3 linked regions of the Neurospora crassa OR74A genome follow. The protein of the gene in region 2 purifies or fractionates together with the protein of the main gene of each other region. This does not show direct contact. Links are inferred from orthologs where the notes say so. Each region holds a gene or a part of one and is shown on either strand. Other genes may lie near its edges.

What was found. Proteins that work in one complex are often made in the same cells at the same time.
Region 1: the proteins of NCU04348 (region 2) and NCU07393 purify together in Saccharomyces cerevisiae (affinity purification with mass spectrometry; 4 studies listed by BioGRID). This does not show direct contact. The link is inferred for Neurospora crassa OR74A from reciprocal best matches to the Saccharomyces cerevisiae genes BMS1 and NOP14.
Region 3: the proteins of NCU04348 (region 2) and NCU01367 purify together in Saccharomyces cerevisiae (affinity purification with mass spectrometry; 4 studies listed by BioGRID). This does not show direct contact. The link is inferred for Neurospora crassa OR74A from reciprocal best matches to the Saccharomyces cerevisiae genes BMS1 and RRP9.

What each region holds. Positions count from the first base shown.
Region 1 is NC_026501.1:6,085,771-6,090,859, reverse strand, and holds the start of NCU07393 (rRNA maturation protein), read right to left. Parts: upstream 3,165-5,089; 5' UTR 3,062-3,164; coding exon 2,762-3,061; intron 2,703-2,761; coding exon 2,256-2,702; intron 2,198-2,255; coding exon 209-2,197; 3' UTR 1-208. Other genes in the region: NCU07394 (hypothetical protein), read left to right, coding at 3,891-4,263, 4,317-4,954. UniProt on the Saccharomyces cerevisiae protein: Involved in nucleolar processing of pre-18S ribosomal RNA. Has a role in the nuclear export of 40S pre-ribosomal subunit to the cytoplasm.
Region 2 is NC_026504.1:3,692,242-3,697,296, reverse strand, and holds the start of NCU04348 (ribosome biogenesis protein), read right to left. Parts: upstream 3,325-5,055; 5' UTR 3,225-3,324; coding exon 3,146-3,224; intron 3,088-3,145; coding exon 3,017-3,087; intron 2,951-3,016; coding exon 350-2,950; intron 293-349; coding exon 1-292. Other genes in the region: NCU16822 (hypothetical protein), read left to right, coding at 4,454-4,600, 4,672-4,781, 4,843-4,933. UniProt on the Saccharomyces cerevisiae protein: GTPase required for synthesis of 40S ribosomal subunits and for processing the 35S pre-rRNA at sites A0, A1, and A2.
Region 3 is NC_026505.1:3,790,756-3,795,996, forward strand, and holds NCU01367 (rRNA processing protein RRP9), read right to left. Parts: upstream 3,165-5,241; 5' UTR 2,978-3,164; coding exon 1,088-2,977; 3' UTR 772-1,087; downstream 1-771. Other genes in the region: NCU01366 (hypothetical protein), read left to right, coding at 1-277; pcb-4 (proteasome component C11, variant), read left to right, coding at 3,738-3,739, 3,796-3,953, 4,028-4,277, 4,364-4,565. UniProt on the Saccharomyces cerevisiae protein: Involved in nucleolar processing of pre-18S ribosomal RNA. Required for efficient pre-rRNA cleavage at sites A0, A1 and A2, and biosynthesis of 18S rRNA.

The DNA.
Region 1 (5,089 bases), on a different chromosome or scaffold from region 2:
GTTGGCAAATGATGAAATGATCTTAAAACTCCTACTAGTAGATGATATGATAGACATGGTATCTCCAACCCATGATCCAAATATTGCACTTGCACTGAACGCTGATGATGATGTATACATGACAGCAACAACAACGGCACTAACAACAACACGGCCAACCACAAACTTACTCCGACTGCTACCCCCGAACCTTCTAAGAAGTAGCCATTTACCTCTTGTTCTTCTTGAGCCTCGCCGCCTTCTCCCTTGCGTACTCGTTCGCCGCCTGGCCTTCCGATCCCTGGATCTCCGCCACCAAGCGCTTGTACTTCTTCTCGTACGCCTCGTCCTTGGCCTTCTTGACCTTGAGGTTCTCGCGCTGCATGAAGGCCGCGTCCTTGCGGAGCTCCCTGAGTGCGCCCTTGCGCTCCTTCTTGTGTTCGGCCCGCAGCTTGGCCAGCTCGGCGCGCTCGCGGTCTGGGTCGTAGTGCTTGTTGGGGTCAAACGAATCCTCAAACTTGGGCACGTACGTCTTAATGGCGAGCGGCTTGTGGTGGTGCAGCTCGAGTGGCCTGCGGGAAACCTGGGCGAGCTGGAGGAGGCGGGAGATGCTTGTCGTTGCGTCCTTAAGCTGCTTGACGAGGGCTGCAGGGAGCTGGGCGGCGTTGGACTTGGTTGTCAGGTGTTGGAGCACGCGCTGGGCGGGCTGGAAGGTCTCGTAGAATGCGGGGAGTTTGCACCATGTTTCGGAAGCAGTCCTGAGAACGGAGGTGATGGTGCTGATAATGGCAACCTTCAGAGCGGAGTCGTCGCTGGTGGAGCGAGCGCTCTTGGGCTGCTGGCAGTCACCGCAGTTGAGCTTCCTGACGGTCACCTTGCTTGCACCCTTGACACGGATGCCAGCAGCGGGCTCGTGAACGGGGAACAGACCAAGCTTTTCCTTGGGCTTCTCAGCAGCGAGCGAGCAGAGAGTGTTGAGGCAGAAGTTGACAAATTCTGGTACGTAACGCTTGGAGAAGGATTGGTACTGAAGGGCGAGGATCGAAAGGTAAGCACCAATGGAGTAGTCGGCGAGTGTCTGGGGAATTTTCTGTCCCAAATAACGGGTGATGGAAAGCATCGCAGGGGTGACCACCTGATGGAAGTGATCAGAAGTAGGGTAGGTTGTGCCAATCGCTGTCAGAAGCATAAGGTCGCCGACGCTAAGGGCAAGGGGCCGATCCTCCTTAATCTCCTCAAGCCGTGACCTGTAAGCCTTGGATATCTCGATCGGGAAGGTCTTCGCGAGTGAGTGGACGTGGCGGATCAAGTTCTCAATGGTAGGGAACCAGGTGGGCTCGAAGTTGTCGCCAAGGTAAGCGATATGCTCGATGAGGGCCCGGGAGAAGTTTCCAAGGCGCTCCTTGTTCTTCGCGTCCAGCTTGGGGTGGTAAAGAGCTCTGATCCTCTGGACAGCCACTGGAAGTTTGGCCACGGGAAGGCTGCCCAAGATCTCCAGCAGCTGCTCGTGACTCTCGGGACATGTAAAGGTATAGGGTATGCCGTCCTCGTCGCCGCCTTTTGACTGAGCTTGAAGTTTTGTGGCCACCTCCTTCGACTCGCCGTCCTCACCACCATTCACAAGCTCGTCCTCATCAGGATCATAGGCATCCTCGTCATCACTCCCGTCCATGTCCGACATGTCGTCCTCGTCCATATCCAACTCAGAGCCGCTTGCGATAAGGTCGTCTTCGAGCAAGAAATCGTCTTCGTCGTCCAGACCCATCTCGGTGGCGGTCATTCGTAGCTTGATACCCTTGCCGAGGCCGAATTCGTCCTCGTCGGCCTCGTCTTGTACCTCTTGGTCGTCTCCCTTCTTCCTGCCCTTCTTCTGCTCCTCCTCCTCCTCCTCCTCGTCATCCGAGACGATCTCACCCCGCATGCGCCTGAGTCGCTTTTCCTCCATCTCTTTGAGACGCTTAACTCCTTCCTCCGCCTTCTCCTCGTCGGTCTTTGTCCTGTCGGTAACCTCGGCCCTGGCTTCACGCGCTGCCTGCTTGAGACGCATGTTGTATTCCTTCTCAAGTTGGTCCATGTCGATTCCTGCCATAACGGAGGGGCCCTTGGGGTCCTTCGTTTCCTTCGGTCTCATCTGGAAGAGTAGGGACTGCAATTCTGGGAGTTCCTTGTCAAGTTCCACTCTTAGATCGTCGTCCTCCTCCTTGGCTGCTTGTCGTTCCTGTAGCAATTACTGTTAGCTGATGAGTGGAAGTAGCCGGCTTAGCGGTGCCCCTTACGTATTTGAAGGCCTTTGACTTGGCGATAACCTCCTCCATAACTTCCTTCTTCGTCTTCTTCCTCTCCGGTTGTCCATCCTCTCCTTCACCTTCCGCGGCCTCTTCCTCAGCGCGCAGGCGCTTGAGGAACTTCTTTCTGGCTGACCGCTCATCGTCGGATTCCATATCGGAAACGTCCTCGTCAAAATCGTCACGACCCGCCTCAATGTCGTCGTCGTCAAAGAGAGTCTTGCCAGCGTGTGTAAGGGTGACCTGTTCTTGCTCGTCATCGGAACCCTCCAAATCGAAGACGGTGTTCTTCTTGTGGCTCTTCATCTGCTCGCGCGCGAAACGTTCCATCATCTTGTCCTCCAGGGTCATGTTGGGGTCGTCCTCGCCAAAACGCCTATCGACAATGCCGCCGACCTTGTTGCGCCTCTGCATTTCAACCAGTAGAGTTTCCCGTCGCTGTTTATGGCACAGTTAGCATCAGAACCAGTAAATCGATCTGAGTGGGATCGACAAACCCTCTGCTCAGCGGTGGCCTTCGCAACGCCGGGGCGGCCCTGAATGCCCTTGGCGAGTTTATCATTTTGGGGCTTGTTGGTGGTGACCTCGAACTTGGGTCCTCTGGCGTTGGTCTTGAACTGGAAGGGGTTGAACTGCTCTCTGATGCTGGCGAGAGCTTCGTGGCGCTGGAGTCGCTTGTCGGTGGAAGCCTTCGCGTCCTGGGCGTTTTGGCGCTTTTGCTTCTTGGATCTCTGGGGACCGATGATGCCTTGGTCCTTGAGGGAGGCCTTCAGCCTCTTGAGCTGAGACCCGGCCATGTTTGTTGAGATGTCTCGACTGTCGACTTGACAGGGGAGTATTGAGAAAGAAAGAGGGAGGGAGGGCGTCGCGAAGCGGGTTCGATCGCAAGACCAGCAATCAATAGGTTGTCTTTGGCGGTTGGTTCCTTCTCAGAAATTTTGGTGATGAAGGGTGCTTATCTTATCGTCATGCTCCACCTCTAAAATCTTGGCAGTTACCTACCTACATACAAGTAGTATTGTCCACAGGCGCGGGCAGCAGAAGCATCCTGGCCTGCCCGTGCTGCACTGTAGCTGCTAAAAGACGAAGCTCTACGGGCGATGCTATCCAGGTCCCAAAAACTTACCCTTTTAAGGAAGTGCACAGACTTCTTTTGTTCTCAAGACATGTCACTCGACCAAATGTGCTCTGCAACCCAGGATGCAGCATTTCACCCAAAAAGCCCCCTTTTGGGCCAGCTGAGTTGCGAAAAGGAGTTTCCCAGCAGTATTTGACTTGCAAAGATAAAAGAATTCCCAATTTTCTTGGTGGAGGATCCAAAAAGTTGAATGTATTGTTAAGTACAAAGGTCTTGGGATACATGCTTGACTAAATGCTTAGGGTGGGAAATTTGGGACCTGGATAGACTGTCCCGCTCTACAGCGGGTGTCACTCCACTGACCAGAAGTGAAGCTCTCCATCGTCATCCTCGGGCTGCTCATGGTTTTTTTATTTTTTTATTTTTGGTTTTTTTCAGTGTTCCGTCTCAATCTCAAAGTCGCGATGTGATGAAAAGAAAAAGAAAACAACACATAAAAGTCAAACTACCTATGCTGAAGCATCATCTTTCATCACCATACCGTTATTATGGGCTGGCAATCGTCGGTTCTCCGAGATGAGAGGGTCGTCTTCACCGGCATTGGCTTCGTCACGGCGAGCTTGATCATCTTCGCCATGAACACCTGGCTAACAAGATGGCGAGACGAGACCATTGTCACCCCCAATCCGCCAAAGACGCAGTACATCACGCAGCAGACCGAGGACTCGCTCGAGCTCAAGACGCTGGACACCTTGCTGGGCCACTACAACTACGCCATCAAGGAGACGGCTGCCAAGATAATCTGTGATAGGGCTGCAAATGACCCCGGCCTCCTGGAGACGTTGCTCTGGGGCATCACCCGTCCAGATTATGACGAGCGTGTCAAGAACTTGAGGGCTCTGGCTGTCATCTGCGTCCCTCGTGAGTATCTCAACACTGCTTGAAAGTTTCCAACTCACTAACACGGCTTCAAGGAGTTCTCCCCATGCTTCACACTTGGAAAGCATACTCCGCCATAGTCCGGTGCCTCGAGCTCTCCCTCGACCCGGAGCAGGAGGTTCTCGAGAATGATGGATGGGACGATTATCCATTGAGGGATATCACCGAAAAAATGTGCTTCATCTTTCTTGAGCAGCTGGTCGATCATTACGGGCCAGAGATGCTGATCCGCTCCAAGTTCGTTGAGCGTTGGCTATCCAGGCAAAATTGGGGCAGGACTGAGGAAGACAGACAGCGCAACTTCCACAACTATATGCTGTACAGGGACAACAAGATCAAGAGGCTTGCGGATGCGGTGCGCAAAACTGGATCGGGAAGGTCGGTGCTGGTCAGATGTGGTCTCATGTCCCAAGAGGGGGCTGACGACTTCGCGGCTGAGCAGGCCGATAACCTGAACCTCATGGACACAAGCGGCGAGCGCTATAACCTCCTGCTCTCTATTAACATGGGTAGGACCCCGCGGGCGCAGGAGACGAGCGCCGAGGAGCAGCGGATTAGACATCGGAATCGCGAGGCTATTGTGGTGAACGATGGGACTAGGCCGATTGGCAGGGACGATATTATTCACCGTGACACGGAATGGCGGGTTTTGGGAGAGCCTGGTCAGTCTTAGAGGAGCGGCTCAGTAACTACTACAGGAATTGTTACCATCGCTTTGTGCTTTGTTCTGTGTTAGGAATACGGGGACGCATAAGGAAGATCAAAATGAGAATAAGAAAGATTGAGTTTGGTTGAGTAGCAATTGTAT
Region 2 (5,055 bases):
CACCCGTGAGACGCATGCTCTGCCAGCCGACCAAGTTGGTGGCCGGGTTGTAGAAACGGTGCGGCTTGATGGGGTACCACGCGCGCAAGAAGACGATGTCGCTGAGCAGGATCTTGTCCTCAAAGGTGGCACGGAAGTGGCCGTCGGGCTTGGCGAGTGCGCGCTTGATCTGACCGCGGATACCCGAGACGGTCTTGATGGAGGCACCCTCGAACTTGGCGATTTCCAGCGCCGAATTGAACATGTCCTTGATGAAGGCCGTGTTCTTGAAGATCTTGTATGGTGTACCGGTCTGGACGAGTTGTTAGCATCAAAAACACCATACACAATAGGGCGGAGGGTAACATACCAGCTTGAGCTTCTTGACGATCTCGGTAGACTCGTCTACGCTCAATACTGTACCGGTAGCCGCAATACGGAACCCGGGGTTGGCGGAAGAGAAGGACTGGAAACATGTGAAACCCGTATTGGGGGCACACAGGGGGCCGTAGAAGGTACCGAAGCAGTGCATGTGCTCCGGAGTATACTTCAGCATCCTGTTTCTCGTCCGAGAATCAGAGATGGAGTAGATGGGAAGAGACTGGAATCGGCGCCAGCCGAGGGAGAAGATGAGGGGATCTCCCGTCTTGAGAATCTTCTTGTGCCAACGGTGCTTCTTGATTCTAACTTGCACAAAGCCGAATCTGTCCTCCGTGGCCGAAAGACCTCCGACAACGATCGGCATCCGTGGCTTAAAGTTCTTGACGAACTCTGCTGGGACACCCTCGATGACCATCCTGGCGTACTTGCCGGCCTTGTAGCCTTCGACAGCGATCCTTTGGCTTTCATCAAGGTTCTCGTATTCCGCCTTGTTGATGTCGAGCTGCTTCTGGATCATGGCCTTTTGAGCATCATACCAGTCGTCCTCTCCAAACTCGTCATCATTGCCACCTTCTCGCCTGGCAATCGCCTTGTCGTTCTTGAAACCTTCACGATCTTCCTCTTCGAAGCGAAGCTTGAGCTCCTCCTTTCGGCGGGCGTTCTTCTCACGCTCGGCTTCAAGGCTTTCTGCTGGCTGCTCCTCTCCTTCCTCCTCTTCTTCTTCTTCATCCTCGTCGTCAGCGCCGTGCTTCTCCCCTGTCTCGAGATCCTCAAAGGCACCGTCACCTTCATCATCGTCGTCCTCGTCATCAAGACCCTCGAAATCCGAACCATCTTCGCCCTCGCCCTCAGCGTCGTCAAGTAGGTTGGCGGTGGCGAACTTGTTTCGGAGAGCCTCGACAGCGTCCTTGTCAGACCACTTGGCTTCTAGTTGTTCGTAGTCGAACTTGGGAATCATGCGATCCTCCCAAGAGTCCTCCTTGTCCTCCTTGCCAGTCCTCCGGAAGAAGGTTTCGTCGTCCTCTTCGATATTCTCTTCGATCTCCTCCTCGTCGTCTTGACCGGCCCATTTCTTGATGGCTTCTGTGGGGGCCATCGACTCGTCGTACATGTACCTCGCCAAGTCGACAGCGCGGAAGGGTTTCCTCCTTCCGTGTATCTGACTTGCGCGCTCCATTATGTTGTCCTTCCACTTGAGCTCAGGATCCTCCTCGTCGTCCTCGTCATCGTCAAAGTCGGATCCTTGGTCTTCATCGCCGGATATCGAACCAAGGTCGGAGTCACTGTCGGCAAAGGCGATGTCCTCTTCTTGGTCGTCGTCGGTCTGTTTCCTGAACATCTTGCCCAGCTTCATCTCGTTGAACTCGGACTCGACATCGGATCCATCCTCCATCTCATCTTCCTCTCCGCTTTCGAAGCCTTCGTCCTCTGGCGGTTCACCACTCTCACCATCGGCAAGTCTGGCGGTTCTTCGGCTCTTGCGGCCAGTGTTTCCGACATCCTCGTCCTCGACAGGGAGCTGGTTGATCTTTTGTCCGCTCGCGAACAGCTTGACACCCTCGTCCGTTTGACCAAGGAGACGCCTCTCGTTCTGCAGGTCGATGATGAGCTGTTCTCCTTCGCCGCGCTCAATGCCCACAGCATCCTTGTCAAATGTGAAGCCGTTCTCCCTAGTGATAACGATGTGATCGCCAGTAATTTTCAAGCCGCTGCGGTCCGCCATGGGCGCCCAGAGCTTTTTGTCCTTCTCGTCGAGTCGCCTTCTGCCAGTCTTGCCACTGGCCTTGGCCAGCGCTTGTTCCATAGCGGGAGTCGGGCAAGGATCCGGCAATTGTTCCATCTCTTTGATTGTAAAGTCGCCCAAACCAGCAATATGTACCCTTTGGCCCTCGGCGGAAAAGTTTGTACCACGGAGGTAACCGGAGAGTTCAATCGTTCGGTCGCATTTCTCGTCTTCTTCAATCTGGGTGGGGTGGGTGACATCGCGGTAGTTGTCGATGATGGTGTAAGGGTGGGAGTTGCGCCAAACGAGCGGGCGGGGGTTCTTCATGACGGACAAGAAGCGGGAGAGGTTGTGGATTTCGCGATCGGGGTAACGGCCGTTCAGGACACCGGAAAGGTAGAAAAGGTGGGCACCCTGGTAGAGTTCGCTCCAAAGTCTGTGCTTTAACCTCTTCTTTGCCTCCTTTAGTGCTTGGGGCTTCCTGAACAGGTCGAGATGGGTGAGGATGCCAAAGACGTTGCCGGGCATACCCGTGGCGGCAAGAACGTTAAGGAACTCCATAGTCTCCATTTCGAAGCCGAAGTTTCCATCGATCATGAGAAGGACAATGTCGGCGACCTTTGCAATATCGACCATGGCCTCGAGTTCGTTGGCGCATTCGATGAAGGTCAATCTCTGCTTCTTGGAGGTGACGACCGTGATAGGTCCCACCGGATCTTGGATGGTTTCCTTTGCATATCGTCGGATGAAAGACTTGAGAAGGGTGGTCTTTCCTACGCCAGGGGGGCCTACGATGGCGACGAGTCTTGGGGGTGGTTCATCGGGGAGACGGTCGACGGCGGGGACATGAAGACGCTTCTCTTTGATCTGCGGAACAAGACCAGTTAATTATAAGAAGTCATTGAAGGATGGAGCGAGGGAATGTCTTCTTACATCGTGGGATCTGGCGGCTTGTCTGGCGAGTTTACCAGGATTGGAGAAGGCAAAGGCCTTGGGGTTCTTTTCTGCAGGGACGGTCAGCTGTGGATAGTAACGATAAAAGAAACAATTGAATACACATACCACCTGTATGCTTGGAGGCCCCCTTCTCCTTGGACTTCTTGGAAGCCCGATGGGGTTTGTGGGCTTGGACGTCGGCCATGATTACGGCTGGTGTCCGTGAACTTTTTGCAAGTTCAGTAGTATAGATGGACACGCGGTCGCGAAAACAGGTGCAAGTGGAAATGCGACGGGACTCGCTCCCAATTCAACTGCTGCCAAAAAGCTGCTGTCCAAATTTTTTGGATAGTCGGTTTTCTGATGGAACGCCAAGACGTTTATCGATAAGCGATAAGATACCTGAATAGTGGGACCTCTTTCCGCGGCAGGCGACGGGACCTATCCCCGGCAGCACCCGCTACTAAGCAGTGGCAGCATGCGGGGAGTTGGAGACCCTGACAGGCAGTCCCGACCTTCAAGTCTTGGAACCTTGAACAACAGACGAACCCAACGTATAGTCCCGTTTCTTATCTTCAACCAACTACTGGGTGAGCTGTGTCTTCGGAGTAACTATTTCCAAAGGTTTATACGAAGATATTCCGTTGGGTGGTTGAGATATCTTGTGCTGTCTTGAGCATGACCAACCTAACTACCTCTATTGTACCAAGCCCTCCCTCACTGGTGGAGACTACATACCACGCTATGTAAATGCATTGGATTGTTCAGGGACCTCCCAACAAACGGTTGAAGAAGAGTCGAGACCATGAAAGAGCTATCATAGTTGATAACTTGCGGCCTCGACATAGGAACGTCGAATGGGCCCGCAAAGTCAAACAGCCATGGGCCATGGCAGCCCTTCTTGCATAACACACCATTTTGAGGGTTACATACGTAATTGTCGCGGGAAGGAGGGTTTCCGATTTACACACATGAGGAGGGTATGGCGTATAGGCTAGGCTCAGAGTTACAACAGATAGGTAACAACATCCAAGATCCTGAGTAGCAAGATGGTCGGAAGATGACTGGATCCATCCTCCCACACCACTCCTAGTGTCTCAGCCCGCGCCTAAGCGCTCGTTAGGTGGTTGTGTGCAAGGCTGTCTTGTTGGGCGCTGAGATGAAGGATTGTCTCTGTCATCCCCACGCCTGGCAGCCAAAAGAGTGTCACAAGTCACAAAACGACCTGCGGTAGGCGCAGCAAGTCTGGTCCAAGTGGATATGACGTATCATCCGCTCCAGAGAATGCTAATGTCCCTGGTGCCGCGTCACTTGTGGCTCCTGACGGCGTGGCAGGAAGACCAATCTAGCATGATTGCCGCTTATCTGGCACATGTGCATCTGTGGTGTAGGTAGTTCGAGTCCACTTGTGCATGTCCCTTGATCACGTATAAGATGCTCCTTCGTCCGCTCCTCGAGACGCAGTACCGACTTTCCAAGTTCACGACCAACCACTACACTCTGTTTCAACATTTCCATACAGCAACACCAACTTTTTCACCAAACAACCCTCCCACCACCGCAAAGATGCCTTCTTACATTGTAAGCATGCCGCACTCGCGCCTCACACTACCCATAAGACTCTTATTGACCTCAGCTGTTCACTATGTCAGGTTACCCTCAAGGACACCGCTACCGATGAGGAGATCGCCAAGACCAAGGAGGACGTCAAGGCGCAGGGCGGCAAGATTGGCCACGAGTACACCCTCATCAAGGCCTTCCAGTATGACAGCCTCCGTCTTCAGAATTAGACACAAGAGCTGACCCTCTCTTTTTAACTGCAGGGCCATCTATCCCGAGGGCGCTGTTTTCACCCTTGAGAACCACGAGCACGTCAAGGGCGTCGAGGCCGACCAGGAGGTCAGGACCCAGTAAAAGAGCGCATCCGATTTCAACAGCATGTTTGAAGCATTAGGCGTCAAGGACAACGACATTGGGAATGATATGACATTAGCCCGGGAAGGACAGGTATAGGATGAGACTACAGTCGCCTGCTC
Region 3 (5,241 bases), on a different chromosome or scaffold from region 2:
CAAAAAAAGCGATAAACATACCCGCCAGAAGTCCAGAATACCTAGGAGAGTTGTGGACGATACTGATAGAAGCGGAATTGGTAGCGGGAAGAGTCGCCGTGTAGAACAACAACAGCAACATCATCAGCGACAGCCACGTCCCAGCAAGCCCAAGGAAACGGCCGAGACCAAGTCCGAGGAGATCCCCGATTCACCCCCTCCGGCGATGGTCGTGTCTGACATCCCTGCGGTGCAAAGCGCGGAGATGACGCCTATTGACTTGACTGATGAGAACTGAGTGAAGACCAGGAGTATGTGGATTGGTTAGAGCGTTGAATTGGTTCATTGTTGTATGTTTATTGTTGGTGTAAGCATATTCATTCATGCATCTGCCCATTTGCATTGCATGGTCTTGAGGCCTCGATGGCTGGTATAGCATGGCTGCGTTGTCTTTTTTGAAGCTCGTTGCTTGATTGTTTTGGAGTTGAAACTCTCGAACTCCCCAAGTCTTGTACATCTTATCATGCAGGCGGAATATTTGGCGGTATTGACGTCCAGCTAGGCCTCGAGGAGTACCTTTGAGTCGGGTGGCCATCTCAGTCTCGAGCTAGATGATGGAGCCTCAACCTTGTGCTGGAGGAAGAAGTAGCGCAGCGTGATCTAACAAACTACCAATCCTCTGTTGATATTTTTTTCCACGGAGAGCACATTACAAGAAGTTTACCATCCCTTTGATGATATATTGGTGAGAGATTCCATAGTATTTTAATGGCTCTGTGTGGCACAACTTAATCGGAAATCTAGTGGAATGGATTCATGACCAGAAACTTTTCAACTCCCTTCAAATGCAGTGAGGCTACCTAAAAGATATAGTGTGGTATGTACAATACTTGCTCTTTCTACTTTCTCCTTCTCCTTTGTCTATGAACAGCTTGGCTGTCGCGAATGCGATATAACGTCCAGAGCACTTTGTAACAAATTTCAACAGGCGATGATTATTTGGCTCTCTTCTTCCTCATTCTCCGCGTTTCTCCCATGTCCCGCTCCGTCAAACGAGGTAGACAAAACAAGACAGAACAAACGTACGTATGGTTCCCATCTTCTTCCTCTATTCCTCCTCTTCTTCCTCCTCATCGCTCTCCTCCCCCTTAGCCCCCGCTCGCCTAGCAACCTTGGGCACCTCGAAGATAGTAGCGCCGTTTCTTCCTTCCTTCATGTACTTCCACCTTCCCAGCCTCATCTCCTTGCCTGTGGCGACCACGATGCAGATGCCGTCGCGACCGCGGTTGCCGCGCTCGAAGATGGCAATGTCATTGATGATACCCCTAATCAGCCCGCTCTCTTGCTTCTTCTTCTTGTCTTGCGACCCATCCACCGAGGCCTCGTCGTCCGCTTGCTCCTCCCCACTGCTTGCGGTTGCAGGTTCCTTCTCCGCCTTTGCCTTCTGCTTTGCTTCCTCCTTCTGCTTCTGGGCCTCGGCCTGGTCAAGCTGCTGCAGCGCCGTGCTGGAACCGAGCACGCCAACAGGCAAAATCTTCTTCTTGTCCTCGCTCAGGCGCCACACGCGCACGAAGCCGTCCCAGGAGCCCGAGAGAATGACGTCCGAGTACGGGATGGTGCGGAGGGCGGTGATGGCGCGGGGCTGCGGGGTGGGCACCACGCTCTCGTCCGGATTCGCGTCGGCAGACACCTCGGTCGGCTTGAGCGGCGGGTCGATGCCGTGCGCACACGGCTGCGTGAACAGCGCCTTCTTGCGGTTGATGCCCCACAGCGAGAGCGTGCCGGCCGAGTCGCCAGTCACAAAGAGCTCGTCGTCGATCATGGCCACCTGGTCCATGGTGCCATCGTGGTTCACCGCCTGGTCCCGGTTCTTATGGGATTTCTTCTCCGACACGCCGCCGCGGAACACGAGCTGCGACTCCTCGGGAACCTTCCAGTAGCGGGCGGTCCGGTCGCGCGCGCCAACGGACACGCAGCGCTCGCCGGCCAGAGCGTCGATGTCGGGGATCTCATCCTGGTGGCCGAAGAGTGTTTCAACGTAGGCGAGCTCGTCGAGCGACCAGACTTTTACTGTCCGGTCCTTGGAGGCAGAAAATATTTGGTTAGTGCCGCGGCGGAAGGCGAGCGAGGTAACGGCGTCGCGGTGCTGGGTGAAGGCCCGGAGGGGCTTGAGGGTCTCGGCGTCATGGACGACCATTCGCTTGTCGGCGCCGCCGGTGACAACAAACTTGCCGTCGGCAGAGGCCCTGACCGTCAGGATGGCCGCGTTGGTGTGTCCCTGGTATGTCTTGTCCTTTGCCTTGATCGGGTTCGCCCTGTTGAAGCACACTCTCTCGGGTTTCTTCTTGGGCGGCGCAGGCGGCTTCTTTGGCTTCTTCTTGGTCGTCTGTGGCCACTGGTTCTTGGGTAGGTCTTGTAGCTTCCACTTGGTAAGGTAGCCGTCTTTCGTGGTGGTGTAAGCGTACGGCGCGCAAACCGAGACTGATGTTACCGTTCCTGAATTCCATCGAAACTGTGTGTGTGCGGCCTTGTCAAAGTCGAGCTTGGAAGCCAACTGGCGGTAAACCTTGCCCTTGGCCTCGGCCACATCCTCCTGAAGACGCTCGGCCAGCAAATCACGGTCAATCTGCTCGGCGTCAAAGGCATACTCGTCCTCCAGTTCCACCTCTTGTCGTGCCTTGTCCAGATATCGCTGTGCCAATCTTAACCGCTTCTCAGCCGCCGTCTCTCCTTCGTGGTCCGACTCCTCTTCTCCTTCCGACCCGTCCTCTCTCTCAATGTGGTCGCCATCGTCACTGTCAATGTCGCTGCCGGATATCGACTCGTCGCGCTCAACGGCTTTCTTGGGGGCTGCGGGACGTGATTTGGCGGCAGGGCCTCTGACCGACGATGACTTGGCAGTCGATTTGCCAGTCGCAACTCGCTTCTGGGGGGCTTCGTTGGCAGAGGCACGCTTCCTCTTCTTTTCCCCAGCGGGTGCTGTGAAAAAGGACGACATGGTGTTGGCAATTGCGGCCCGGGGCGGTCGGTGCAAATGCACTGGAGTCGTCTGGTGGTAGAGAATGACACTGGAATGTGAATTGGGGTCGCGTTCGGCTTCACTTCAACGCTGCTGCATGGCTATCAAAGTTGAAATTTTTGGGATGGCCGTTCGCGCCTAGACACACCCGACCCGATGGACTTCGAAGAAAAAAAAAAGTTGCCCACCCTGCAGGCTTTCTATCGGTGGAGTAGCACGCCGATTCGTCAAGATCTCCTCCACTGGCTTGGCACAATTGAACGAGTCGGAGAAGGGAATCCCCGTGCCGTGCACTCTACCTTATTGCGTCACTAACAGATATAGGGGCTCTGTCACGCGGAACCGAGCTAGCGAGCTGTTAGTAGTCGGCTGGTGGGGAGGCTCTTGCTGTCTCCAAAAGACGTCCCCGGGCCATCCTGGCAGGTTTCATGACGGAGTGGGGCTGTCTCTCTCGCTGTCTGCTTGCCTGCCCAGTGGTTGCAGCTTTCAGCCCTTCTGGGGACTGGAATGGAAAGATGGAAGACGATAGCGGGCACCTGAACAGCCTGGCCCGTGCTTGTCTTGTCAGCTTGCAGGCTGAAGCTCCAGTGCGCGTTCCCCGTCGCCGTCAGTTCAAGCTCCAACTGCCCTGTCCCGCCATAGGTAGGTAACGACGAGAACCGTGCAAGCCAACGCAACTTGCCAAAGCTTACCAAAACAACAGCATATCATCCATTCACTCACATAACAATCAGCCAAAATGTACGTCGCATCGGTCATGTCTTGGAGAGGTGATATCAGAGCTGATCAGCATGTAGGGAGGTTTTACTAGGCATCACGGGCAAGGACTTTACCATCATTGCGGCGTCCAAGGCCGCTATGCGGGGAGCGACCATCCTGAAGGCATCCGACGACAAGACAAGGTCGCTGAACAAGCACACACTGATGGCATTCTCCGGTGAAGCTGGCGACACAGGTACGGCAGCGATATCGTGATGATGGCGCTTTTGAACCAAACCAAGTTAACCAACTGTTTGTTCCCATCGACAGTGCAGTTCGCCGAGTACACCCAAGCCAACGCCCAGCTCTACTCCATGCGCAACGGGACCGACCTTTCCCCTTCTGCCCTTGCCAACTTTGTCCGCGGCGAGCTTGCGACGAGCTTGCGCTCCCGCAAACCCTACAACGTAAACCTCCTTCTCGGAGGTGTCGACCCTATCACCCACAAGCCCAGCCTCTACTGGCTCGACTACCTTGCGTCGTTGGCGAAGGTCCCCTATGCCGCCCACGGCTACGCACAGTATGTGATCTCGACCGATATCTCTGTACCGTCTTTGATGCGTAGGAGTCATGTACAGAATCACTGACCGGTTCTTTCCTCATCAGATACTACTGCCTCTCGATTCTCGACAAGCACCACCACCCAGACATCACCCTCCACCAGGGTATCAAGCTTCTCAACCTGTGCACCGACGAGCTCAAGAGGAGGTTACCCATAGACTTCAAGGGCATGACGGTCAAGGCGGTAACGAAGGACGGCATCATCGATATCGAGTTCGACGACGACAAGGTGGTTAAGATGGCTTGATTTGTGGGGATGCTTGCTTACTTGCCTGCTTGCGGCTTGGGAAGCCTTGCGGGGGAAGGACAACTCTGTATAATAATACCCATACGACGGAAATGCATGAGTCCAGGTGGCCTCCACCAACGGGAGACCCCTGGCGAATTTGATGATCATAAAGAAAGAGAGAGGAAGAAACAAGGCTATCATGTTAGAGGTGTGAAGTCCGAGAGTCCGTCTCTGCGGCTCCCGGTTTCAGTGTGGCGTGTGGAGCGCGTCTGGGCCGATCATACACCCTGCCACCGACACCATCGCGATACGATACGTCAGGGTTGCTTCTTTTTGATCCTTTCTTCGAAACACTCCTCCAACCGGTCAGATATCGTTACGGCAGTTGAGGTTAAGGAACCTGTTTAACGTCCTCTGGCAATCATGGGCGAAAGTATTATAACATTGAAGCGCACACCGCACTCGGTTTCAATCGAGACAGAGGCTCGACGAGCACTTGAAGTCCGTAGAGGTATTGTGTACCTACCTGAAACCGACAAGCTGTAACATGAATCATGACTACTGGTAAACGTTGAAACAACTAGAAAGTATTTCACATTGTCAGGGAATTGTTGTACAGCCAAATGAGAAGAGCTCGAGCCAGTGAATGGTCAATTCCAATTTCATATGTTCAGTCGGCATCATTAAAAGCACA